Struthio camelus: one gene and its partners. Each later gene encodes a partner of the first gene's protein in a complex. Links are inferred from orthologs where the notes say so. Each region holds a gene or a part of one and is shown in the gene's direction. Other genes may lie near its edges.

Region 1 (7,476 bases):
TACAGGCCTGTGCCAGGCTCTACGGGCTCGTACAGGCTCATTCCAGGCTGGGTCCCTGAGGTGAGCAGGGCCCCAGACACCTCGATCCCTGAGGGAGCAGCGCCCCGGACGCCTGGGTCGCTGGGGTCCCCACCCCCAGGCTGGTGCATCCCATCCCCGTCTGGTTGCCCCCCGGGTGTGGTCTGTGAGGGGGTCCGCCCCCCCGAGGCAGGGACCAATGAGCAACGTCGCCCCCACGAGGTGCCCTGGTTGATCAGGCTGCAGCAGAGCAGGGCGTCGCAGCCAATGAGGCGCCGCCATCTTCGCCTAGCTCCTCTGATTGGGTGTTGCCATGTGACCGAGGTGAACGGCCTCTGCCCAGCTCGTGCCCCTGGCCGCGCTCTGGGACCCCCCCGCCCCCGGCAGCCAATAGGGCCGGCCCTGGGGCGTAGCCACGACAGCATTGGGGTGGGCGTGGCAAAGCCCGGCCCAGTACGACAGCCAATCAGAGTCGCCGCTGGAGAGGGTGTGTGGCCGGCGCGTAGCCACGCCCCTGTGCCGAGGGAGGGGTGGGTGGCCGCCGCGCGTGGCCCCGTTGCGCGGGATGATGGCGGCGGTGCGGGTGGCCAGGAGCGCGGCGCGGTGGCTGCGGGCGGGCGGCGGCGGCGGCGCAGCGCGGTGAGAGGCGGCGCCGGGACCCGGCACCGGGACCCGCCCCGACCCCGGGGACCCGCCTCTGCCCTCAGTCCCGGGCACCGGGGTCCAGCCTTGCCCCCTCAGCCCTGGTCTCTGTCCCCTTCTTCCCCCTTCCCTCAGTCCCCCATCCCTTGTGCCCTCCTCCCCTTGTCCCTCTGTCCCCTTGGTCCCCCTTTCCCCCATCCCTCTGTCCCCCCGTCCCCTTGTCCCTCCATCCCCCATCCCTCTGGCCCGCCATCCCCCCGGTCCCCTTGTCCCCCCATCCCTGCCCTCCACCCCTGCCACCCCCGCCTCACGTCCCCATCCCCTCCGTCCCCAGGCCCCCCTCACACGGGGCTGCCCCACGCTGGCTCCCCGCCCCAGGACATGTCCCTGTGTCCCTGCGCCAGGACACACGCAGCCACGGCCGGCCTGGCAGCACCCCGTGCTGCAGAGGGGGGTTGTTTACCCTGCCCCCCCCCCCCACCCCGTGGTTAATGTGTTACCAGCTGCCGTGCAGCGGGCCAAGGTCCGGCCGATGACACGGCATCCCCGAGGAGGCTGGCGCAGGGCAAGCCTCCCCTGCGTGCCACCGCCCCACCGTGGCCCCCCCCAGCGCTGCCTCCCCGAGCCTGCAGGCAGCCCGGCGGGTGCCACCGCCGGTGCCCCCGGTGTGGCGCAGGGGCCTACGCCCTCGCGTGATACCCAGGAGCCTCTGCCCTCGTGTGACACCCAGCCACGCTGCCACGAGTGTCCCTCGCCCTGGGGAGGCTCTTCCCCGTGGGTTGCCCGTGCCCTGAGTGCCTGGTGGGCTGCCCATGCCGGAGCGGGACGAAAGCGGGTGCCAGGGAGCCTCCTCCTTCACAGGGCCCCAGTGACACGTGTGCTAGTGGCACACGCGCGTCCTGGCTCCGACGGCAACATGCCACCAGCAGCCTCAGACAGGCCAAAAAAACCCAAAATCCAGCGCTGGGGGAGCTGCTCCCTGGTTCCGAGCGCAGCTCTCCTGCAAGGCTCTGGACAAGGCATTTTCGCGCCTCAGTTTCCCTCTTTGCAACACAAAACGAATGAAACCAGCCTCCCACAAAGCCCTGTGAGCCAGCCAGTGCTGTCTGTGAGCGGATGCTGCTGGCTGCCTGCAGACTCAGGAAGGCAGAACTGCAAGCAAAACTCCCTCCTCGTTCTTATCGTAACCGATGTCGCCCCCCAGGGTGACACCGGCGTCTCGCAGGGGCTACGCGGGGACGACCGAGGGCAGCTGGCTGCGCTCACTCTTCGTGCACAAGGTGGATCCCCGCAAGGATGCTCACTCCAACCTCCTGGCCAAGAAGGAGACCAGCAACCTCTACAAGATCCAGTGTGAGAGGCGCCGGGGGCAGGCAGGGCCAGGGGCACCTCGGCACAGCTCCGCGGCACCTCCGCACCCCGTTATTTGGCCGTTTGCCCCATTTCTGTCCCCAGCTCAGTGGCTGCTCTCCACTTGGGGCAGCTCCTCCCCGGGCCTCAGCTCCTGCTCTCACCCTCTCGCCCTCTCTCCCACAGTTCACAACGTGAAGCCCGAGTGTCTGGACACCTACAACAGCCTGACGTGAGCCTCCCGTGCGGGTCAGGGTCACCCAGCGTCCCTGCAGGGAGCACCCAGGGGGCTACTGAGGCTGGTGCAGGGCTGGGGGAGCTCACACCGAGCTGCTTCAGGAGCCCCCGGCAGGTTTCTTATTCTGGGCCTCAGTTTTCCTTCCTGTGAAATGGGTGCAGGGAGCTTCCCGCAGGGGTGAGGCCAGGTTGCGTTGGGATGCAGCCCCTGGCTGCCGCCTGCCATCTCCTGGGCGTCCCCTGGGGCACAAGGGTCCCCTGCAATCCCCCATGTCCCCGCAGGGAGGAGGCGCTGCCCAAGCTGCACGCGGACGCCGACTACCCCTGCACGCTGGTGGGCAGCTGGAACACGTGGTATGGCGAGCAGGACCAGGCAGGTCAGTGCGGCAGCATCCCTGCAGCGGGGGCACAGCAGCACTGGGGCCTCGGCGGCCTCCCGCCCTCAGGGAAGGGCCGTGTGGGCAAGGGAGGGTACAATTTTGGGGGGGAAAGTGGCAAAACAGAGCTTTGAGAGGGTGCTGCTGGGAGCTATGCACGGCTCTGTCCTGGTATCACCCGGCCGCCCGGGAGCGAGTGCTGGCGGGTCCCTGGGCTCGGTGGCACCCCATAGGTGCCTTGTCCTTGCAGTGCACCTCTGGCGCTTCTCCGGCGGGTACCCGGCACTCACCGAGTGCATGAACAAGCTGAAGCAGAACCAGGTAGCACTCAGGGCGGCACCGTGCCGGGGTGGGGGGGACACTGGCGTGTCCCTGGGCATCCCCATGGCCATCCGGGCTCCCCGCAGGAGTACGAGGCCTTCCGGCGCGAGCGTAGCAAGCTGCTGCTGGCCCGTCGCAACCAGCTGCTGCTCGAGTTCAGCTTCTGGAACGAGCCCCTGCCCCGGCCTGGGCCCCACGTCTACGAGCTGAGGACCTACAAACTCAAGGCGAGTGGCCCCACGCGGTGCCGGGGGCAGGGGTGCAGGGAGCCACCCGCTCAAACGTTGCTGGTTTGCTTCTCCCTTTCCAGCCGGGGACCATGATCGAGTGGGGCAATAACTGGTAAGGAGACAGCCTGGTCTCTGCCTCAGTTTCCCCCCTGCCCCAGGCACTGCCTCAGTTTCCCAGCTGGTCCCGTCCTTGGGGGCCGTCCTCCACTCCCTCGTTCCCTGCACAGTCCCTGGGGCTGTGGACAGAGGAGGAGGAGGAGGAGGAAGAGGAAGGCTTCTGGCACCCCACAGCAGTTCTTTCCCCCCACCCCGGCCAGGGCTCGGGCCATTAAGTACCGGCAGGAGAACCAGGAGGCCGTGGGTGGCTTTTTCTCCCAGATCGGCGAGCTCTACGTTGTGCACCACCTCTGGGGTAAGTGGGCACCCAGGGGCACCCGTGGGTGCTGGGTGCTTCTGCGCCAGTGTGAGATGCTCTGTGTTGTTGCCCCCCCCAACCTCGCTCCCTGCAGCATACCGGGACCTGCAGTCACGCGAGGAGACGAGGAACGCGGCATGGCGCAAGAGTGGCTGGGATGAGAACGTCTACTACACGGGTGAGCGTGGCGGCAGGGGCACCCATGGGTGCTCAGTGTCAGGGGTCACCCGCGGTGACGTCCCCCCGCCGCCACTGGCTTTGCAGTGCCGCTGATCCGCAGCATGGAGTCGCGCATCATGATCCCCCTGCGCATCTCGCCCCTGCAGTGAGCCGGCACCTCAGCACCGTGTCGCCTTCCGTGCCCCTGGGGCACGCCGGGGTCCCCGCAGGGCACCCAGATCCCCTACCTGCCCTGAGCACCTACTTGGGGTAGCCCATGGGGATGGGAGCTGGGGGCGCCCCTGCTTTCCTCTGGGGGCTCGGCACCATGTCACCTCCTGTCCCCCTTGTCCTGATCGTCCCCCAAGGCTCACTGGGGCAGGGCCAGGGTCCCGCGTGGCACCCAGCTCCCCTCGTCCCCGGAGCACCCATTGGGGACCCCTTGCAGGGACAGAGCCAGGGACACACCTCAGGGTCAGGAGCTGGGGACACCCCCCATGGGGGACGGGAGCCAGGGACACCCCACAGGGGACAGGAGCTGGGGATCCGCCATGGGGACGGGCCCTGGGGACACCGCATGCAGGACAGGAGCCGGGGACACCCCATGGGTGCTCCCACTCTGGGGTCTCCCCCCTGCAGGGTGTCCCTGGCACCCACCGCTGTCCCTGGGGTGGGAGCACCCATCTCTGCGACCCCAGGAGGTGACAGTGGTGTCAGGAGGTGACAGCAGTGGCCATGCACTGCCAGTCCTCTGCTCCCGCTGCTGCTGGGAGCCCCAAGTTCTTTGGAGGACAGTGTTAATTAGCACTAATGAGCCCCGGGCCATGGCCGGGCCCCGGGGGCTGCACCCATTAAACATTCGATGTGCCCATGGGTGGCCCTGTCTGCGAGTGGGGGGCCGGGGTGCGTCCCAGGGGGGTCAGCAGTGACGAGTCCCACCGGGGCCGCTCCCATGCGCACAGGTGTCCCCTGCACCACTGGGGACCCCCCACCCTGTGGTCCTCAACCTCAACAAGGTGCACCTTCATGCCCGTAGGTGCCCCCCATGCCGATGGGTGCCCTTCCTACACCAGGGCCCCCCTCCCATGTCTGTGGGTGTCCCCCAATGCCAATGTGCCCCCCACCCCAAGGAGCCTCCCAGTGGCCATGGATGCCCCCATACATCAAACCCCCCCTATGCCCATGGGTGCCCCCCAAAGCCAATGGGAGTCACCATGCCCAAGGGTGTCCCCCTGCACAAAGGCCCCTCCCATGCACTTGGGTGTCCGTCATTGCTAATGGGCCTCCCCCCACCCCAGGGAGCGCCCTGATGCCCATGGGTGCCCCCCATTCACAAGGCCCCCCCATGCCCATTTGTGTCCCCCAGTGCCAAGGGGGACCCTCACTCCAAGGGCCCCCCCATGCCCAAGGGTGCCCTCACCCACCAGTGGACCCCTATACACCAAGGGGTGCCCCCCAATGCCAAGGGGGACCCCCACCCATGCCTGTGGGTGTCCCCCATACATCAGGGCCCCCCTCATGCCCATAGGGACTCCCAAAGCCAATGGGACCCCTACCCCAAGGAGCCCCCATGCCCATGGGTGCCCCCCACACACACCAAGAGGACCCCCATGTCTAAGGGGCTCCCCTGCACCAAGAGGCCCCTAATGAGCCCCCTCAGCTCCCCGCCTCAAATCCGCTGGTGCCTCCAAGGGGCACCGACCTCCGGGGCTGGAGGTGGGGCGACTATAAGCCCCGCCCCTTTGGGCCAGACCCGCCCCTCGGCCGGGCCCCGCCCCCCTCGGCCCGCGCTCCTCCCGGCGGGCCTTGCCCGCTAGAGGGCGCCTCTGGCGGCTGCCGCTCTGCGCCGCGCTCGTCTGCTCCGTGACGTCACATCCGGGCGGCGCTGAGAGGGGCTGACCGGTGAGCGCGGGGGGCCGCGGCCGAGCGGGTCTGCGGCGGGAGGGGGCTTCGCCGGGGGCAGCTGGGGCGGGGGAGTGTTGGCGAGCCGGGCCTGGGCCCGGTCAGTTGGGGGGGAGGCGCTGAGGCCCGGCGGGGGAGGTCCTGGGGGACCCAGTGCGCTGGAGACCGAGGGGGACCTAGGGCCTGGTGGGCAGTCCTCCGTGAGTTGGGGGCTGGGTTGGGGCAGGGAGGAAGCTGCGAGGCTCCGTGATTTCGGGGTCCAGCAGGGGCCCAGGAGAGCTGCGGCAGGGGGGAGCCCGAGGCCCAGCGGGGTGGGGAACAGGGGACCGGGAGAGCTGGGGTGGGCGGGAGGCCACGGGGCCTGCTGAGTTGGAGGCTGTGAGGGAGCCAGGGCTCGGTAGGTTGAGGGCTGGGAAAGCCAAGGAGAACTGCAGTTGGGGGTGAGAGGCTGTGGGGATCAGTGGGTTGGGTGTCTGGAAGAGTTGGCAGGGGGGAGGCCCTTGTGCCTGGTGGGTTGGGGGATGGCAGTGGGCCAGGAGAGTTGGGGTAGAGGGCAGACCCTGGAGCTCAGCAGGTTGGGGGTCTGGTGGGGGGCAGACACCAGGGCGCGGTGGGTTGTAGAGCTGGAAGAGGGCAGAGCCTGGTGCCTAGCCTGTCGTGGGGCAGGGGGAGGGCCTAATTTATCGGAGATTGTCAGAGTTTGAGATGGGCCTGGCAGACAGGAGCCTGGGGGGCCCCATTCTGGGTGCCTCTGTCCCTCTTCACATGCTCACTTGGTTCTTTGTCCCCCAGCCCTGCCAGGCAGCTCCCGGCAGCACCATGTCATCAGATTCCAGCAAGAAGAGGAAGCCCAAAGTTATCCGCACCGATGGGGGCCCACAGGAGGGCAAGCGGGGCAAGGCCGACGCTGACCAGGTGGGGTGCCCCGCAGCCTCTCCTGGCGCCCCATGCGGGGAGGAGCTGCCTGCTTTCGCAAGGTGCTCCTGTCCTGCTGCATTATGAGAAGCTGATACCAAAACTTCCTTTTATTGGCCTCATTCCCCCACTCAGGCAGCTTGAGTGGGGTCAGAACCAGCCAAATCTGAACACCTGCAAGACTCCCACTCTCAGTTTCTGAGCGGGTTTTCTCCTCCTGGAGGAAACGCAATTCCCATGGAGTCAAATGTTGCCTTTTGGGACATAACAGGCAAGTCTGAGGCTGTCAGGTGTTTCAGGGATTTGCAGGTTGCCTTAAAACACTCCCACAAAGATCAGAATAACTTAGTTTTAGTCAAAGTGGAATTTAAGGTTGAAGAAGTAGGTGTGCAGCCTTGATAACAATCTGCGCTGGTGCAGGACAGATACTGGTCTTAATTTACAGTGATGATATAAGAGGCCTAAACTTTCCAGGCATTTGTGCCCCGGGTGGTTAAACGAGTCACTCTCCGCTGCGCAAGCCCCCTCGAGTGTGGGATGACTGGGCTGAGGCAGTGCTCAAGATCTGGTGGTTTATGTCCAGGGCACTTTAGGAGGTGTTTTTACCCCTTGCAGGATGCTCGGTACTACAGTGAGGAGGGTGAGGTGGATCTGCGTGACCCCATCAAAGACTACGAGCTCTACAAAGAGACCTGCCAGGAGCTGCAGAGACTCATGGCAGAAATCCAGGAGCTGAAGAGCAGAGGCATTAAGGACAACGTAAGGAGGAGCTGCAGTGCTTTTTCTGCATGTGCTTTCCTGTGATGTTTCTTCCTGACCCAAGAGGAGCAGGAGCCACACGGCATTCTGGGGAGAATTAGGAAAATGGGACAGTCTCTGTTAAATAAAGTAAGCTGTAGCTGAGGGGTTT
Region 2 (7,810 bases), on another chromosome or scaffold:
AGCACCGGCACTCCTGGGCCTGGGGCCTGGGGAAACGTCGTGCCTCGCTGCGGGAAACCCGAGTGCTGCACAGGTGAACTGCCCCTACCATCTCCAGCCCGTGGCTGCTGCTGCATCCCAGGGGAAGCGTTTCTGCCATGTCACTGCAGCGAAGAATGAGATCTGCTCTTCAGGAACAAGGCAAACACTGCTCTGACCTAGAGGACTCCCTGGTGTCAAGGCAATCCCTGAGCTCTGCTGGCTTGCTATAAAATGATTTAAATGCTCTCATGAAATAACTGGAGCTGCTTTCCCTATTGTTTCAGCATCCCCCGCCTCTCTCACCCCCATCCTTCCTCCACTTGGGACTTCAGAGGCTCCTATCTAGGCCAGTACTGGCCCTGACCCTCTCCAGCTCCCAGACAGCCTGGGGCTGTGTCAGTTTTGGTAACCTCTGTGAACAGAAGGCAGGGGCAGAAGCAGGATTGTCCTGGACTGTAGGGGAAATTGCTTCCTCTTTTTTGGGCACGGTACGCAGAGAATAGCCTTGGGGCTGGGCAGACCCCAGGGAGCATCAACCCAGCCCCAGGGCACCGTAGCTGAGGGAAAACATACATTTGGATTTTCATCAGCAGCATGTAGGTGTCCTTCAGGATCTCTCCCTGGTGGGATTTCAACAGGATCTGTCTAATCAAGTAGGACACGATGTCTTTAGGAGGGCAGTGCTGGCAGGAGACGAACTCACTCAGGAAATGCAATGTGCCCTCGAGGAAGTTCTCCTCAATGGTGGTGTGTACCATGCTCAGCTTCCCGCTGGGGATGAGCTCGGGTTTCCGCTGCTGCGTGCAAGGCAAGGCAATGGGTGAAAGGCGGCTCCCCATGGCCTGTGCGTACCTTGTATCTGCTGTGCACCCTCGCCCGCGATGCCCTCGCCCCGCACCCTAATGGCACGCGGTGTGCACAGTGCTGGGCAGCGCCCTGCTCCGGGGCTGCCTCACAGCACTGATGCCTTCGCAGGTAAGTCACAGCTGCCCTCCAGTTGTGATGCGTGTCCCACCGTTAAGGGAACTGCAGTAACCAGAGATCCCAACCGCCCACCAAAGCTTTCCCCCAAACAGGAAGCAGAGCAGGGGCTGCCCCTGCTTCCTGCTCTACCTCTCCCCCTCTGCGGGACCCGTCACCGAGCAGACTCCAGCTGGGCCTGGCAGCAGCTGCTCTGAACCCCGTTTACCTGCAGCGTTTCCCTGTCGGGTGCTATGTCTTGGAGGAAGAGGTGATGGACACCAGTCCTCCTGAAATACTGCAGTTTGTTCAGCCAGGCCTTGTTGTCAGCCCTGGTCCTGGCTGGGGCCACTTTCTGCATTGCTACACGCGGCGGCAGGTCTCTTGCTTCCAACAAAGGCCTTTTGGCTCCTGCCGGGGATGAAGCAACGCTGGCTGGCGTGGGGCTCAGGCCTGGGGGGAGCTCCCTTTGCTGGCAATTGGGGGGAGTCTCTTCCTCCGCGCCAGAGGCTCTCCAGCTGCAGCTGCTGTCCAGGCTGGAGGGGGACAGGGAGAGCTGGTCAGAGTCCAGCTGCATGCTGGCCAGGGAGCCCAAGTCACTGTTAAAAGTGGTGGTGCTGCAGTTCTGCCCAGGGCTGCGCGAAGAGCCTTGGCAGCTGGAGGCGGGAGAGAAGCCCCCTCTGCTCCCTGCACTTTCCGCTGAGTCCAAGGCGGGAAGGGGCTCTGCGGGGGCGCCATGGGAGGGCACTGCAGGGCTGGGCTCCACCGTCACCTCCCTTTCTTGCTTGGTGGGGAAGCAGAGCCTGGGCGGGGAGGCGCGTGCTGCCCGGGAAGCACAGCCTGCGGCGTCGTCGGGAGGGCTGCATGGGTCCTCCTCCTCCGTCAGGTCGATGATGGTGAGGCTGGGGCGTGGTGCTGGCTCTGCGCTCGTCTCCTCGCAGGTCAGGTCGATGATCTCCTGTGGGGACAGAGGGGTCAGCGCTGTCTGCAATGGAGGCGCCCGGCTGCCTTGGGCCTGCCCTGCCAGGAGCCTCCGGTGCGTTGGCACTGCCCTGGCCCTCCCCGGCCCACGAGAGGGAAGATGGAGGGGAAGGGGCTGATCTGCACCCAGTGCAGGAAGAGAAACCAGGAGCAAAGACCCTGCTGCCTGGCGGAGGGGACGGGGTGGGCTGCGAGGTGGCAACCCCGAGCTCTGGTGTCAGCCTCCCCCAGCAGCACGGCTGGGCCCGGGCTTGGCCTGGGCCTCTCATCCCCGCTGCTGCCGGTGACAAGCCCTGCTCACCCGGGGGTGCCTTACGGCTGCGTCCTCTGCTTCAAAACAAAAACAATCCCCAAAAGCCTGGCGTGCAGCCTGGGGCCCTGGCTATGCTTGGCCCGAAGAGGCTCTGCCGAGCCTGGGGAGCCGGGGGACCGTCCCTTACAGTCTGCTCTGCCGAGCCTGGCCCACTCTAGTGGGTTTCTCCAGTGCCAGGAACAGCCACTGCTGCTGCGTTTGGCTGCAGAGCAAGGGGAGTTTGGGTTGTTCCCCCCTGCCCCCGTGCAGCTGCAGGGCAGACGGGAAGCAGCCGGAGCGGGCACAGGCGCTAGCTGTTCCCCGCTCGCTCCCCTAACAGGCTGGCTGACCTCGGCTCCCCCAGCCCACCCGCAGCGGGAAGCTTTGCCTCCACACCTCCGTCCTGGGGCCACGCAGCGCCGGGGTGGAGAGCTCTGCCCCTTCGTGGATCTGAACCTCAGCGTCCCCTGCGCTCTCCCCATAACGCTCGCTATCCCAGTCCCGCAGGAGGGGGCTGCAGCTGCGCGACAGAACAAGGAAGGCTTCGGCGGTCGGTCCCACGGAAGAGCTGTCCCAAGCGTGGGATGACGGTGACGTCCAGTGCCCCAGTGGGTCCCTCCCCGGCAGCAGGAGTTTCCGCAGGAGCCAAACGAGCTGCGCCGAGCTCCTTGGCAGGGCACGGCACCACAGCTCCCCCAGGCCGTGATACAGCACGTGCCAGAGATGTCTGCAAGCCCCCCCAGCATCCCCCTGCGGCACAGCCTCACCCGCTACGCGGACACAAGTGGAAGGGAATAGAGCTACCTTCACGTCCATGACACCAGACCAGATCTAGAGCAGCACAGAGACTTTGGGGGCTTCCCATCCAGGACTCGCCGGGCGATGCAGCCTCTTTAACCCCGAGCTCCAAAGATGTGCATCTACAAGGGGCCGCAGGAGCAGGCAGGGGGAGCACATCTGTGTCCGCACCAGGGGCAGGCAGGACACAGCACGTCTCAGAAGGTGCATGGGATCATTACATGCCCAGCAGGGGTCAGGGTCTTTTTGCTCTTGGAAAAAAATCACAGCGTCTCAAAACAGGAAAATGTTTTGAGAACATCTTCAAGAAAATCCATTTAAATCCATTTTGTTTTCCCTGACTCAGACCCGCTGCCTTTCCCAAGTTGGGGGCTGCATTTACTGTGGGGAGGTGACAAAACCCAACAGGCTTTGCTCGTTCAGGAAAAACAGCGGGACCAAACAAGCGTGGCGCTCGCCCGAGCCGCAGCCCCGCCGGGCAGCCCCGCCGCGCACCGCGGCCGCCCGGAACTGCCGGCGTTTGAAAGCTGCATCAGAACCGGCGCCAACGGCTTCCAGCCTGGGGGCCGCCGGGCCGGCCTGGGCGGGAGATGGCCTCTCCCCCCGCGCCGCCGCCACGCGGGCTCGTCCTCTGCCCTGCCGGCGGGGCCGTGCGGGTGAGCTGGCCCCCGGCCGCCTCCACCACCCCCCGGGGCTGGGCGCCGGAGACGTGCGGCTGGGGGAGGCTGAGGTGGGCCGGGAGGACCCCGGGGCGCTCGGGGGGCTGGAGGCCGTGGGGGGCTGCGCAGGCTGGGCTGTCTGGGCCTCTCCTCAGTCAGGCCACGCTCTGCGCGGGGGGCGCGACGGAGACGCGGCCTCGCTCACGGGCCACGCGGCTGCCCGGGGCACGAGGGTCTGGCAGCCGGGACCCTCCTGGGGGCGGGAGGCCATGGTGGGCTGGGATGTCTGGGGGGATGTGGCAAGGGGACCGGGAGCCTCCTGAGGGGACATGGCTGAGGGGGACTGGGAGCCTCCTGGGGGCCTGTGGGTGAGGGGGGCTAGGACCCTCCTGGGGTGCTGGGGATGAGAGGGGCTGGGACCCTCCTGGGGTGCGGGGGCTGAGAGGGGCCGGGACCCTCCTGGGGGGCTGGGGGTGAGGGGGGCCGGGACCCTCCCGGGGGGGCTGAGACCCCCCCGGGGGAACGTGCCTGGGGGGGCTGGGACCCTTCTAGAGGACGTGGCCGGGGGGCCGAGGCTCTCCCGGGGGGACACGGCTGGGCGGGCTGGGACCCGGGGGGGGGGGGGGGCGGCGGCTCAGGGCCGGTGTCCGTTGGGCGCCGCGGCCGCCCCGGCTCAGCGCCGCGCGCCCGCCGCGGCGCCCCGAGGCTTTCTGTCCCCGCGCGGCACCCGTCCCTGTCCGCGCCTCCCGCCGGGGCGGAAGCGCCGCCATGTTTGTGAGGGGCAAGCTGCGCCCCGCCCCGCCCCGTCCCGCCCCGCCCTCACGGCGCAGCGGGAGGCGCCGCCCGCCGCCGCCACCGCCCGTTCCCCGGGGGCCGGTGACTCACCGCGGGGGGCGGTGGGGGGCGCCGCGGCACCTGGCGGCGACGGCGACGGCGGTGGCGGGGCGGCGAGCGGCCGCTGCCCTCGGAGCCCGAGTCGCTTATGAGGATGACGCTGTCGGCCATCTTCCCTGCGGGCGGCGGCGGCTCCGCCCCCTGCGGGCCGGGCCGGGCGGAAGCTGCGTCACGCGCGGCGGCGGCGGGAGGACGGGTGCCGCGGCGGCGGCGGGGCCATGGCGCTGTCGCCCTACGTGCTGGCCATGCAGGAGCTCTTCCGCGCCAACACGCGGAGCCGCGAGTTCCCGGCGCACGGCGCCAAGGTGCACTCGGTGGCCTGGAGCTGCTGCGGCCGCCGCCTCGCCTCCGGCTCCTTCGACAAGACCGCCAGCGTCTTCGTGCTGGAGAAGGACCGGCTGGTGAGCGGGCCGGGCCGGGCCGGGGGCGGCGGCGCTGGGGAGCGGGCCGGGCCCGCCGGAGGCCGCGGGTTGTCCGCCTGCCCCCGGCCCACCGCCGCCCTCTGCCTCTAGGTGAAAGAGAACAACTACCGCGGCCACGGCGACAGCGTGGATCAGCTCTGCTGGCACCCCAGCAACCCCGACCTCTTCGTCACGGCCTCCGGCGACAAAACCATCCGCATCTGGGACGTCCGCACCACCAAGTGCATTGCCACCGTCAACACCAAAGGTGGGCCCCCGGCAGGACCTTGCCGCCGTGGGCCGGTTTCCTGGGGGTGGTGGGGATCGGGGCACCTCTGCTGATTGCTTTTGTCTTTGCCTTGTGCTCATCTAGCTCTAGCAGGTATACGGAGCAGCACAGCACACGAGGGCTGACTTATGTTGGTGACAGGACTGGAGAAACCGCTGATATATGATGCTGGTTGTTAAAATGTCTTGTGTACTTGCTTCCGGAGTCTATGGGGTGCAAGGAAAGGCATGTTTTCAGAGACCTATGGTGAGACTAAAAGTTTAGCTGGATTCAGGAAGCAGTTAATCATATTCATGGACTGATTAACACAGATACCATCTCCGGCTGAGGAAAGCTCCAATTTCAAATTGATGGGTCTGGGAACAGCATTACAAGATGGTATAGCTGCAAATTGCCTTGTTCTTACCCTCATTTGTATGTGCTTGTGGTTGGCTGCTACTTCTTCTGGATTTGAAGGTCACTCGGTTAAGAGGCTCTTTGATTTGATCTTGCTTGGTCATCTCTGTGGTCACATCTTGGCTAAACTGGGAAGGGGAGTGGTGCAATGCTGTTGGTTTGAAGCTGTGGTTCTGTTAAGTTTAGTTTTCATTAACTCTATGTTATCTCTTAGCCGGCTACTGAGTGGGATGTGTATGTTGAACTGCAGATTTGTCCTAGATTTAGGAGCAGTTCCGAGTTAGTGGAGCAGACTACGGGCTTGAGTCAGGAAAAAAAAAAAGCTACCTGTCTGCTTAACTGATTGTGGTCCTATGGATTGGTGGGTGTAAATGGGACCTGTTGCCCTTTCTTCCCTCTAGGGGAGAACATAAACATCTGTTGGAGTCCTGATGGCCAGACCATTGCAGTAGGGAACAAGGATGACGTTGTCACCTTCATTGATGCCAAGACACATCGCTCCAAAGCTGAGGAGCAGTTCAAGTTTGAGGTGAATGAGATCTCCTGGAACAATGACAACAACATGTTCTTCCTCACTAATGGGAACGGCTGCATCAATATTCTCAGGTAGGTGCCTGTGGCAGCAGGCAGGGTGGGTAGGTGGACTGGTTGCCTTGATGCATCTCTGTCAGCCGAGGTAGACGTCGGTCTGCAAGTCCCTTTGCTGCTTGCAGGGGCCGAGGTCCTGTATCCCAGTGTTTCCCAGTCCTGAGGTGGGAACAAAGTTGCCTAGAGTTGAGGTTGCCCCAGTTCTGGGCTGGGCTTCTTGAGGAGTGACCCAGGTGCTTTGCCTCATTCATCCAGCACTCAAGGTTTCCAGTTTGGTTGGCTCACCATCCCAGTGCACCTTATGCCTCATCTTGTAAACAAGCCCTCTGCTCCTTTCAGTGCTTCCTGCTCTTTCCCTTCGTCTCCACAGCTACCCAGAGCTGAAACCCATTCAGTCCATCAACGCCCATCCTTCAAACTGCATCTGCATCAAGTTTGATCCCATGGGGAAGTACTTTGCCACAGGCAGTGCCGATGCACTCGTGAGCCTCTGGGATGTGGATGAGTTGGTGTGTGTGAGGTGCTTCTCAAGGTAGGTAGTCCTGTCCTGAACCTTTTTCTCTTCTCTCTCTGGTGACCCTGTGGGAGATGGCTCACTCTCTGCTTGGACTTGCTGTTGCAGGCTTGACTGGCCTGTGCGAACGCTGAGCTTTAGCCATGATGGGAAGATGCTGGCGTCGGCATCAGAAGATCACTTCATTGACATTGCGGAAGTGGAGACAGGTAATGGTTCCCCGTCAAGGAAATAGCAAGGAGGGAATTGGACAGAGATGTGCTGGTGGAGCTGGGAGGGCCCTGGGAGATTCAGTCTGCTTGCAAAGAGCTTGGTTGTGCGCAGCAGATTGCCATGAGGGGGAGCCTCTGCCTAGTTGGTCTGTTTTTAGATATGGGTTGTGTCTGTGTCTTGTCTTCAGTTGATTAAAGCACTGAAGCAGCACTAATTCTTCCTCTGCCCCACACGGGAGGGAGGAGGGGGGTGCTTGGCTCTGGTGTGTGCTATGGGGCAGTGCGCAATGCAGGGCCAGAGGCTCTCCAGCCTGACTTGGCCCCTCTTCTGTGCAGGAGAGAAGCTTTGGGAGGTGCAGTGCGAGTCCCCCACCTTCACAGTGGCCTGGCACCCGAAGAGGCCTCTGCTGGCCTTCGCCTGTGACGACAAAGATGGCAAATATGACAGCAGCCGGGAGGCGGGCACTGTCAAGCTCTTCGGGCTCCCCAATGACTCCTAGTGGAACTGCAACAGGCAGCAGGGTAGACCACCAGGAGAGGCAACACTTCCCTGCTGTCGGGGATGGGAGAACGCTTGGTTAACCTAGGATGGGGGAAGGAGATCAGTCCCCTCCGTACCTGCTTGGCAGTATGGTGATCCTTGGCTCAGCTCTGTGCATCCTGCTCTTGGGAGCCTTTGTAAAAAGCAGCCTGTGTGCTGGTGAGGACGGTGGGGGATGCTCGCAGAGCCCCCCTGCTGGTCTCCAGGGAACGGAGGCCCATTGCAAAGGCAAGTGGCCAAAGAAGGTCTGTCACTGAATGCCCC
Region 3 (7,871 bases), on another chromosome or scaffold:
GGGAGCCATGGGGCTGGGAAACCCCCACCATGGGGGTCAGGGGGTTCGTAGCCCCCTTTCTGCGGCCCTGACCCCGCTCTGCCCCACGGCTGGGGGGGGGGGTCTGCAGCCCTGACCCCGCTCTGCCCCACGGCGCGGGGGGGGGGTCTGCAGCCCTCACCCTGCTCTGCCCCACGGCGCGGGGGGGGGGGGTCTGCAGCCCTGACCCTGCTCTGCCCCACGGCGCGGGGGGGGGGGGGGTCTGCGGCCCTGACCCTGCTCTGCCCCACAGCGTGGGGGGGGGGGGTCTGCGGCCCTGACCCTGCTCTGCCCCACGGCGTGGGGGGGGGGGGTCTGCGGCCCTGACCCCGCTCTGCCCCACGGCGCGGGGGGGGGGTCTGCGGCCCTGACCCCGCTCTGCCCCACGGCGCGGGGGGGGGGGTCTGCGGCCCTGACCCCGCTCTGCCCCACGGCGCGGGGGGGGGTCTGCGGCCCTGACCCCGCTCTGCCCCACGGCGCAGGGGGGCCGGCGCTGGACCCGGTGCTCTGGGAGTACAAGTGGGAGAGCGGCAGCGGCGCCCCCCTCTACGGCCCCTTCAGCAGCGCCCAGATGCAGGTGCGACCCACGGCCGGGGGGCTGGGACCCACGGCCGGGGGGCTGGGGGGCTGCAACCCACAGCTAGGGGTCTGGGGCTTATGGCTGGGGGGCTGCGACCCACAGCGGGGGGGGGCTGGGCCCCACGGCCGGGGGCACCGGGGGGGCTGGGCCCCAGGGCTGGGGGCTCCGCAGCGGCGTTGGGGGGCTGCACCCCCCATCCGGGGGTGCCGGGGAGCCCCCAGCGCCCCCCAGCGCCCCCCCGGTCCTGCCCCCCCAGGAGTGGGCGGCCCAGGGCTATTTCCGCCCGGGCGTTTATTGCCGCAAGGTGCAGTCGCCGGCCGGCGCCTTCTACCGCTCCGAGCGCATCGACTTCCAGCTGTACGTCTGAGCGCCGCAACACCCGCCGCGACACCGGGAGCGCCCCCGCAACACCCGCCGGGAACACCGGGAGCGCCCCCCGCAACACCCGCCGGGAACACCGGGAGCGCCCCCGCAACACCCACGGGAACACCGGGAGGGCCCCCCGCAACACCCGCCGCGACACCGGGAGCGCCCCCCGCAACACCCGCCGGGAACACCGGGAGCGCCCCCGCAACACCCGCCGGGAACACCGGGAGCTCCCCCCGCAACACCCACGGGAACACCGGGAGCGCCCCCCGCAACACCCACGGGAACACTGGGAGCGCCCCCCGCAACACCCGCCGCAACACTGGGAGCGCCCCCCGCAACACCCGCCGGGAACACCGGGAGCGCCCCCCGCAACACCCGCCGGGAACACCGGGAGCGCCCCCGCAACACCCGCCGGGAACACCGGGAGCTCCCCCCGCAACACCCGCCGCAACACCGGGAGCGCCCCCCGCAACACCCGCCGGGAACACCGGGAGCGCCCCCCGCAACACCTGCTGGGAACACCAGGAATGTCCCCCGCAACACCCGCCGGGAACACCGGGAGCGCTGCCGGAACACTTGCCAGGAACAGCCGCTGGGACTACCGGGAACACCCGGAATGCTGGGAGTGCTGCCGCAACACCCGCTGGGAACACCCAGCAGAACAGCCATTGGGAACAGCCGCCACAACACCCAACAGGAACACCAGGAGCACTGCTGGGAAGCCCGGGAACAGCGCGCCGGGGGTCGCGGGGGGGTCGCGTCTCCTTGGTTCGTTTTCTGTTTTTTTCCCCATTAAAACCCGTCTGCTCCCGGCTCCGGTCTCTTCCCCCCCCCCCCCCCACCGGCCGGGAGGGGGCCCAGGCGTCCGGGCTGCCCCCCGGGGCGGCCTCGTCCCCCCGGCACGGTGGGGAAGAGCCGGGCGGCCCGGACGCCTGGGCCCCTCGCGCCCCCCCGCTCCCTGCCGGCCCCACAGCCGCACGCTCAGCGCTCAGGGGGAGTCGTCTTTAATGGGGGGCTGGGGGGGCCCGGACGCCTGGGCCCCGCGCAGGGCTGAGCTGGGGGGCCCGGACGCCTGGGCCCCGCCGGTGGCGCCGCCTCCCGGGGTCGTCGCGGCCTCGGGCGCCGTCTGGGGCAGCTGCCGGCGTCAGGGCGCGGGGGGCCTGGGGGGCGGGGGGCTGCGCCGGGGGTCTCCTGCCCCACGGCCCCCAAACACCCCCCTTCCTGCCTCACAGCCCCCCCCTGCTGCCCCCTCCTGCCCCATGGCCCCCAAACACCCCCCTTCCTGCCTCACAGCCCCCCCCCGCTGCCCCTTCCTGCCCCACAGCCCCCCCCCACTGCCCCCTCCTGCCCCACGGCCCCCAAACACCCCCCCCCGCTGCCCCACGGCCCCCCCCGCTGCCCCTTCCTGCCCCACAGCCCCCCCCACTGCCCCCTCCTGCCCCACGGCCCCCAAACACCCCCCCTTCCTGCCCCACGGCCCCCCCCGCTGCCCCTTCCTGCCCCACAGCCCCCCCCTGCTGCCCCCTCCTGCCCCACGGCCCCCAAACACCCCCCTTCCTGCCTCACAGCCCCCCCCGCTGCCCCCTCCTGCCCCACGGCCCCCAAACACCCCCCCCGCTGCCCCACGGCCCCCCGCTGCCCCCTCCTGCCCCACGGCCCCCCCCGCGGCCCCCTCCTGCCCCACGGCCCCCAAACACCCCCCTTCCTGCCCCACAGCCCCCCCCGCGGCCCCCTCCTGCCCCACGGCCCCCAAACACCCCCCTTCCTGCCCCACAGCCCCCCCCCGCTGCCCCCTCCTGCCCCACGGCCCCCAAACACCCCCCCTTCCTGCCCCACGGCCCCCCCCGCTGCCCCTTCCTGCCCCACAGCCCCCCCCCACTGCCCCCTCCTGCCCCACGGCCCCCAAACACCCCCCCTTCCTGCCCCACAGCCCCCCACTGCCCCCAGCCCCCCGGGGCGGGTACCTGGCGCCGTGGGGCAGCCCGTTCCCGCTGTAGCCGTGGTCGTGGTGGAGGCCGAGGGCCCGGAGCCGGGCGGCCGCCAGCGCCTCCGACAGCGCCAGCTTGGGGGCCGGCTCCCTGCGGGCAGCGCCGCTCCCAGCATGCCCCGGGGCAGCACCCTGCTCCCAGCATGCCCCGGGGCAGGGCTCGCCCCCTCCCAGCATGCCCCAGGGCAGCACCCTGCTCCCAGCATGCCCCAGGGCATGGCTCCCCCCCTCCCAGCATGCCCTGGGGCAGGGCTCCCCCCTCCCAGCATGCCCTGGGACAGCACTCCCAGCATGCCCTGGTGCAGGGCTCCCCCCTCCCAGCATGCCTCGGGGCAGGGCTCCCTCCCTCCCAGCATGCCCTGGGACAGTGTCCCCGCTCCCAGCATGCCCTGGGGCAGGGCTCCACCTCCCAACATGCCTCGGGGCAGCACCCCCTGCTCCCAGCATGCCCCAGGGCAGCACCCCCACTCCCAGCATGCCCTGGGGCAGGGCTCCCCCCTCCCAGCATGCCCCGGGGCAGCACCCCCTGCTCCCAGCATGCCCCAGGGCAGCACCCCCACTCCCAGCATGCCCTGGGGCAGGGCTCCACCTCCCAGCATGCCCCAGGGCAGCACCCCCGCTCCCAGCATGCCCTGGAGCAGGGCTCCACCTCCCAGCATGCCCCGGGGCAGCACCCCCCACTCCCAGCATGCCCCAGGGCAGCACCCCCGCTCCCAGCATGCCCCGGGGCAGGGCTCCACCTCCCAGCATGCCCCGGGGCAGCACCCCCCACTCCCAGCATGCCCCAGGGCAGCACCCCCACTCCCAGCATGCCCCGGGGCAGGGCTCCCAGCATGCCCTGCTCCGTACTGACCAGTCGCAGGCGTCGGGGCGGCGCTTGAGCCCGGGGCCGGGGGGCCGGGGGCCACTGAGGGGAGAGATCCCATCATGCCCTGCTCCCCCTCTCCCATCAGCCCCTGCTCCCCCCTCCCAGCATGCCCCTGCTCCCCCTCTCCCATCAGCCCCTGCTCCCCCTCTCCCATCATGCCCTGCTCCCCCTCTCCCATCAGCCCCTGCTCCCCCTCTCCCATCATGCCCTGCTCCCCCCTCCCATCAGCCCCTGCTCCCCCTCTCCCATCATGCCCTGCTCCCCCCTCCCATCAGCCCCTGCTCCCCCTCCCCCATCAGCCCCTGCTCTCTCCCATCAGCCCCTGCTCCCCCTCTCCCATCAGCCCCTGCTCCCCCCTCCCATCATGCCCTGCTCCATCAGCCCCTGCTCCCCCTCCCATCATGCTCTGCTCCTCTCCCATCAGCCCCTGCTCCCCCCTCCCATCTTGCTCTGCTCCCCTCCCATCAGCCCCTGCTCCTTCTCTCCCATCAGCCCCTGCTCTCTCCCATCATGCCCTGCTCCCTCTCCCATCATGCCCTGCTCCCCCATCAGCCCCCGCTCACCCTGGGGCCGGGGCGGCGGCGGGGCCCAGGCGTCCGGGCGCCCCCGGGGTCGCGGGGTCGGAGGTCACCGGCCCGGCCTGCTCCCCGCGGGGGGGCTCCATCCGCGCCGCATCACCCGCGGGCCAGCGGCTCCCATCAGCCCGCGCGGCGCCTCCCGGCAGCCCCTGAGCGCGTCTCGCCCAATGGCGGCTCCCGTGCCGGCCCGGTCGCTCCCATGATGCACCGCGAGTGGGGGGGGCGCTCCGCGCATGCGCGGCGGCCGTTGAGGCAGCGGGAAGGGGAGGGAGCGCTCCGCGCATGCGCAGCCGCGGGCAGCGGGCGGGCTGCGCGCGCAGCCGCGCCCACGTGACCCTCCCCCATCGCCGCCGCCGGACTACGGCTCCCGGCGTGCCCCGCGCGGCAGGGGCGGGCGCGGTGACGTCGGCGCGACGGCGACGGCGGCCGCGCGCACGAGGGGCAGCGCGACAGCGGCGGCGATGGCGCCCGCGGAGGTAGCGGGGCCGGGGGGGGGCCGGGAGGGGTGGGGGCCTTCCCGGCATGCCCCGGGCGGGGTCACGCCCACGGGGGGGCTCCCGGCGTGCCGTGGGGCGGGGTCACGCCAATCGGGGGGGCTCCCAGCATGCCCTGGGGCGGGGTCACGCCCAGGTGGGGGCTCCCAGCATGCCGTGGGGCGGGGTCACGCCCAGGTGGGGGCTCCCAGCAGGCTGTGGGGCGGGGTCACGCCCAGGTGGGGGCTCCCAGCAGGCCGTGGGGCGGGGTCACGCCCAGGTGGGGGCTCCCAGCAGGCTGTGGGGCGGGGTCACGCCCAGGTGGGGGCTCCCAGCAGGCCCTGGGGCCGACGCCATGCTCCTTTCCCAGCATGCTGTGGGGCGGGGGCTCCCAGCAGGCCCCGGGGCCGACGCCATGCTCCTTTCCCAGCATGCTGTGGGGCGGGGGCTCCCAGCAGGCCCCGGGGCCGACGCCATGCTCCTTTCCCAGCAGGCTGTGGGGCGGGGGCTCCCAGCAGGCCCCGGGGCCGACGCCATGCTCCTTTCCCAGCATGCTGTGGGGCGGGGGCTCCCAGCAGGCCCCGGGGCCGACGCCATGCTCCTTTCCCAGCAGGCTGTGGGGCGGGGGCTCCCAGCAGGCCCCGGGGCCGACGCCATGCTCCTTTCCCAGCAGGCTGTGGGGCGGGGGCTCCCAGCAGGCCCCGGGGCCGACGCCATGCTCCTTTCCCAGCAGGCTGTGGGGCGGGGGCTCCCAGCAGGCCCCGGGGCCGACGCCATGCTCCTTTCCCAGCAGGCCGTGCGGCGCGCGCTGGAGCTGCTGCACATGAGCGTCTTCTCGCAGAGCGTCTCCCCCTGCGGCCGCTACCTGGCGGCCGGCAACAACTACGGCGAGATCGCCATCTTCAGGTAGCCCCGCCCCCTGCTGCCGGCCCCGCCCACCACTGCCGGCCCCGCCCCCCCGCCGGCCCCGCCCACCACTGCCGGCCCCGCCTCCCGCCGGCCCCGCCCACCGCCCTCTCCTCCCCCCGCAGCCTCTCAGCCGCCCTCAGCTCCGAGGCCAAGGAGGAGAGCAAGAAGCCCGTGGTCTCCTTCGCGGGTAGGTGCCCCCTGTCCCAGCATGCCGTGCGCCTGCTGCCGTCCCAGCATGCCGTGGGCCTGGCGTGTCCCAGAACGCCCTGCGCCTGGGCCCTCCCAGCACGCCGCGGGCAGTCGGCGTCCCAGCATGCCGTGGGCCTGCCGGTGTCCCAGAATGCTGTGGGCCTGTGAGTGTCCCAGCATGCCCTGGGCCTGTGGGTGTCCCAGAATGCCATGGGTCTGGCATGTCCCAGCATGCCCTGGGCCTGTGGGTGTCCCAGCATGCCCTGGGCCCGGCATGTCCCAGCATGCCCTGGGCCCGGGCCCTCCCAGCATGCCCTGGGTCTGGCGTGTCCCAGCATGCCCTGGGCCCGGGCCATCCCAGCATGCCCTGGGCCCGGCGTGTCCCAGCATGCTCTGGGTCTGGCATGTCCCAGCATGCCCTGGGCCCGGGCCATCCCAGCATGCCGTGGGCCCGGCATGTCCCAGCATGCTCTGGGTCTGGCATGTCCCAGCATGCCCTGGGCCCGGCGTGTCCCAGCATGCCCTGGGCCAAGGCCCTCCCAGCATGCCCTGGGCCCGGCGTGTCCCAGCATGCCCTGGGCCCGGCGTGTCCCAGCATGCCCTGGGTCTGGCATGTCCCAGCATGCCCTGGGCCCGGCGTGTCCCAGCATGCCCTGGGCCAAGGCCCTCCCAGCATGCCCTGGGTCTGGCATGTCCCAGCATGCCCTGGGCCCGGCGTGTCCCAGCATGCCCTGGGCCCGGGCCCTCCCAGCATGCCCTGGGTCTGGCATGTCCCAGCATGCCCTGGGCCCGGCGTGTCCCAGCATGCCCTGGGCCCGGGCCCTCCCAGCATGCCCTGGGTCTGGCGTGTCCCAGCATGCCCTGGGCCGAGGCCCTCCCAGCATGCCCTGGGTCCCAGCACGCCTGGCCGCCGCCCGCAGCCCACGACGGCCCCGTCTACGCCCTGGTCTCGACGGAGCGGCAGCTGCTCAGCGCCAGCGACGGGGAGATCAAGGCCTGGAACTGGGCCGAGATCGTCAAGAAGGTGAGGGCGGGGCCCGGACGCCTGGGTCCCTCTCGGACGCCTGGGTCCCTCTCGGACGCCGGGGCCCCTTCCCGGACGCCTGGGTCCGCCCCGGACACCTGGGTCCCTGCTGGACGCCTGGGTCCCTTCCCAGACACCTGGGCCCCTCCTGGATGCCTGGGCCCTTCTCGGACACCTGGGCCCTTCTCGGACACCTGGGCCCTTCCCCGGACACCTGGGTCCCTCTCAGACACCTGGGTCCCTCCCCGGACAGCTGGGTTCCTCCCGGACACCTGGGCCCCTCCCCGGACGCCTGGGCCCCTCTCCGGACACCTGGGTTCCTCCCGGATGCCTGGGCCCTTCTCAGACACCTGGGCCCTTCCCCGGACACCTGGGTCCCTCCCAGACGCCAGGGCCCCTCCCTGGACGCCTGGGCCCCTTCCTTGGACATCTGGGTCCCTTCCCGGACACCTGGGCCCCTCCCCGGACGCCGGGGCCCCTCCCCAGACAGCTGGGCCCCTCCCAGATGCCTGGGCCCCCCCGGACACCTGAGTCCCCCCGGACCCCTGAGCCCCTCCCGGACGCCTGGGCCCCTCCCAGATGCCCGGCCCCCCCCCGGATGCCGGGGCCCCTCGCTCACCCCTCTCTCCCCAGGGCTGCAAGGAGGCCTGGAGCCGCCGCCCCCCCTGCAGGTGAGTCCCCCCCCGCACCCCCCCCAGCGCCGGGTGCCCGGACGCCTGGGTCCCCGACGCCTGTGCGCCCCGCGCAGGAGCAGCCTGGAGGTGCCCGAGATCAACAGCCTGCAGCTGAACACCAAGGTGGGTCCCGGCCCCGGGGGGCTGCGCGGGGGGAGGGGGCCGCGGCCCCCCCGGCCCCCCCATATCGTCCCCGCTCCCC

The links. Proteins that work in one complex are often made in the same cells at the same time.
Region 2: THOC5 (region 1) and THOC3 share a complex: the UniProt entries of both Homo sapiens proteins name them as parts of the transcription/export (TREX) complex. The link is inferred for Struthio camelus from reciprocal best matches to the Homo sapiens genes THOC5 and THOC3.
Region 3: the proteins of THOC5 (region 1) and THOC6 are in contact, whole or in part, in a cryo-EM structure (PDB 7APK), measured with the Homo sapiens proteins. The link is inferred for Struthio camelus from reciprocal best matches to the Homo sapiens genes THOC5 and THOC6. Residues at the interface, in NP_001002877.1 of Homo sapiens: Pro406, Gly407, Asp538, Ile539, Val540, Asp541, Ala542, Gly543, Leu544, Ser575, Ile576, Ser593, Asp596, Arg599, Glu602, Gly603, Asn606, Val607, Tyr609, Arg660, Phe662, Arg663, Gly664, Pro665, Ser666, Arg667; in NP_001334633.1 of Homo sapiens: Val5, Pro6, Ala8, Val9, Pro10, Leu11, Gly12, Gln13, Val16, Phe17, Leu20, Gln21, Leu23, His24, Met25, Thr26, Phe28, Tyr45, Tyr80, Asp94, Glu125, Val126, Pro127, Glu128, Asn130, Gly146, Tyr170, His172, Glu188, Trp222.

The regions. Positions count from the first base shown.
Region 1 is NC_090958.1:5,142,814-5,150,289, forward strand, and holds the start of THOC5 (THO complex subunit 5 homolog), read left to right. Parts: upstream 1-4,444; 5' UTR 4,445-5,651; intron 5,652-6,443; 5' UTR 6,444-6,470; coding exon 6,471-6,566; intron 6,567-7,181; coding exon 7,182-7,325; intron 7,326-7,476. Other genes in the region: NIPSNAP1 (protein NipSnap homolog 1), read left to right, coding at 584-657, 1,865-2,013, 2,197-2,242, 2,530-2,624, 2,875-2,945, 3,032-3,172, 3,256-3,287, 3,493-3,587 and 2 more. UniProt on the Homo sapiens protein: Component of the THO subcomplex of the TREX complex which is thought to couple mRNA transcription, processing and nuclear export, and which specifically associates with spliced mRNA and not with unspliced pre-mRNA.
Region 2 is NC_090954.1:10,107,013-10,114,822, forward strand, and holds the start of THOC3 (THO complex subunit 3), read left to right. Parts: upstream 1-4,746; 5' UTR 4,747-4,823; coding exon 4,824-5,006; intron 5,007-5,117; coding exon 5,118-5,274; intron 5,275-6,092; coding exon 6,093-6,297; intron 6,298-6,649; coding exon 6,650-6,811; intron 6,812-6,901; coding exon 6,902-7,002; intron 7,003-7,341; coding exon 7,342-7,505; 3' UTR 7,506-7,810. Other genes in the region: SIMC1 (SUMO-interacting motif-containing protein 1), read right to left, coding at 595-818, 1,211-1,939, 2,651-3,070. UniProt on the Homo sapiens protein: Component of the THO subcomplex of the TREX complex which is thought to couple mRNA transcription, processing and nuclear export, and which specifically associates with spliced mRNA and not with unspliced pre-mRNA.
Region 3 is NC_090973.1:146,317-154,187, reverse strand, and holds the start of THOC6 (THO complex subunit 6 homolog), read left to right. Parts: upstream 1-4,807; 5' UTR 4,808-4,861; coding exon 4,862-4,876; intron 4,877-5,603; coding exon 5,604-5,779; intron 5,780-5,904; coding exon 5,905-5,969; intron 5,970-6,852; coding exon 6,853-6,995; intron 6,996-7,628; coding exon 7,629-7,666; intron 7,667-7,743; coding exon 7,744-7,792; intron 7,793-7,871. Other genes in the region: CD2BP2 (CD2 antigen cytoplasmic tail-binding protein 2), read left to right, coding at 501-595, 855-965. UniProt on the Homo sapiens protein: Component of the THO subcomplex of the TREX complex which is thought to couple mRNA transcription, processing and nuclear export, and which specifically associates with spliced mRNA and not with unspliced pre-mRNA.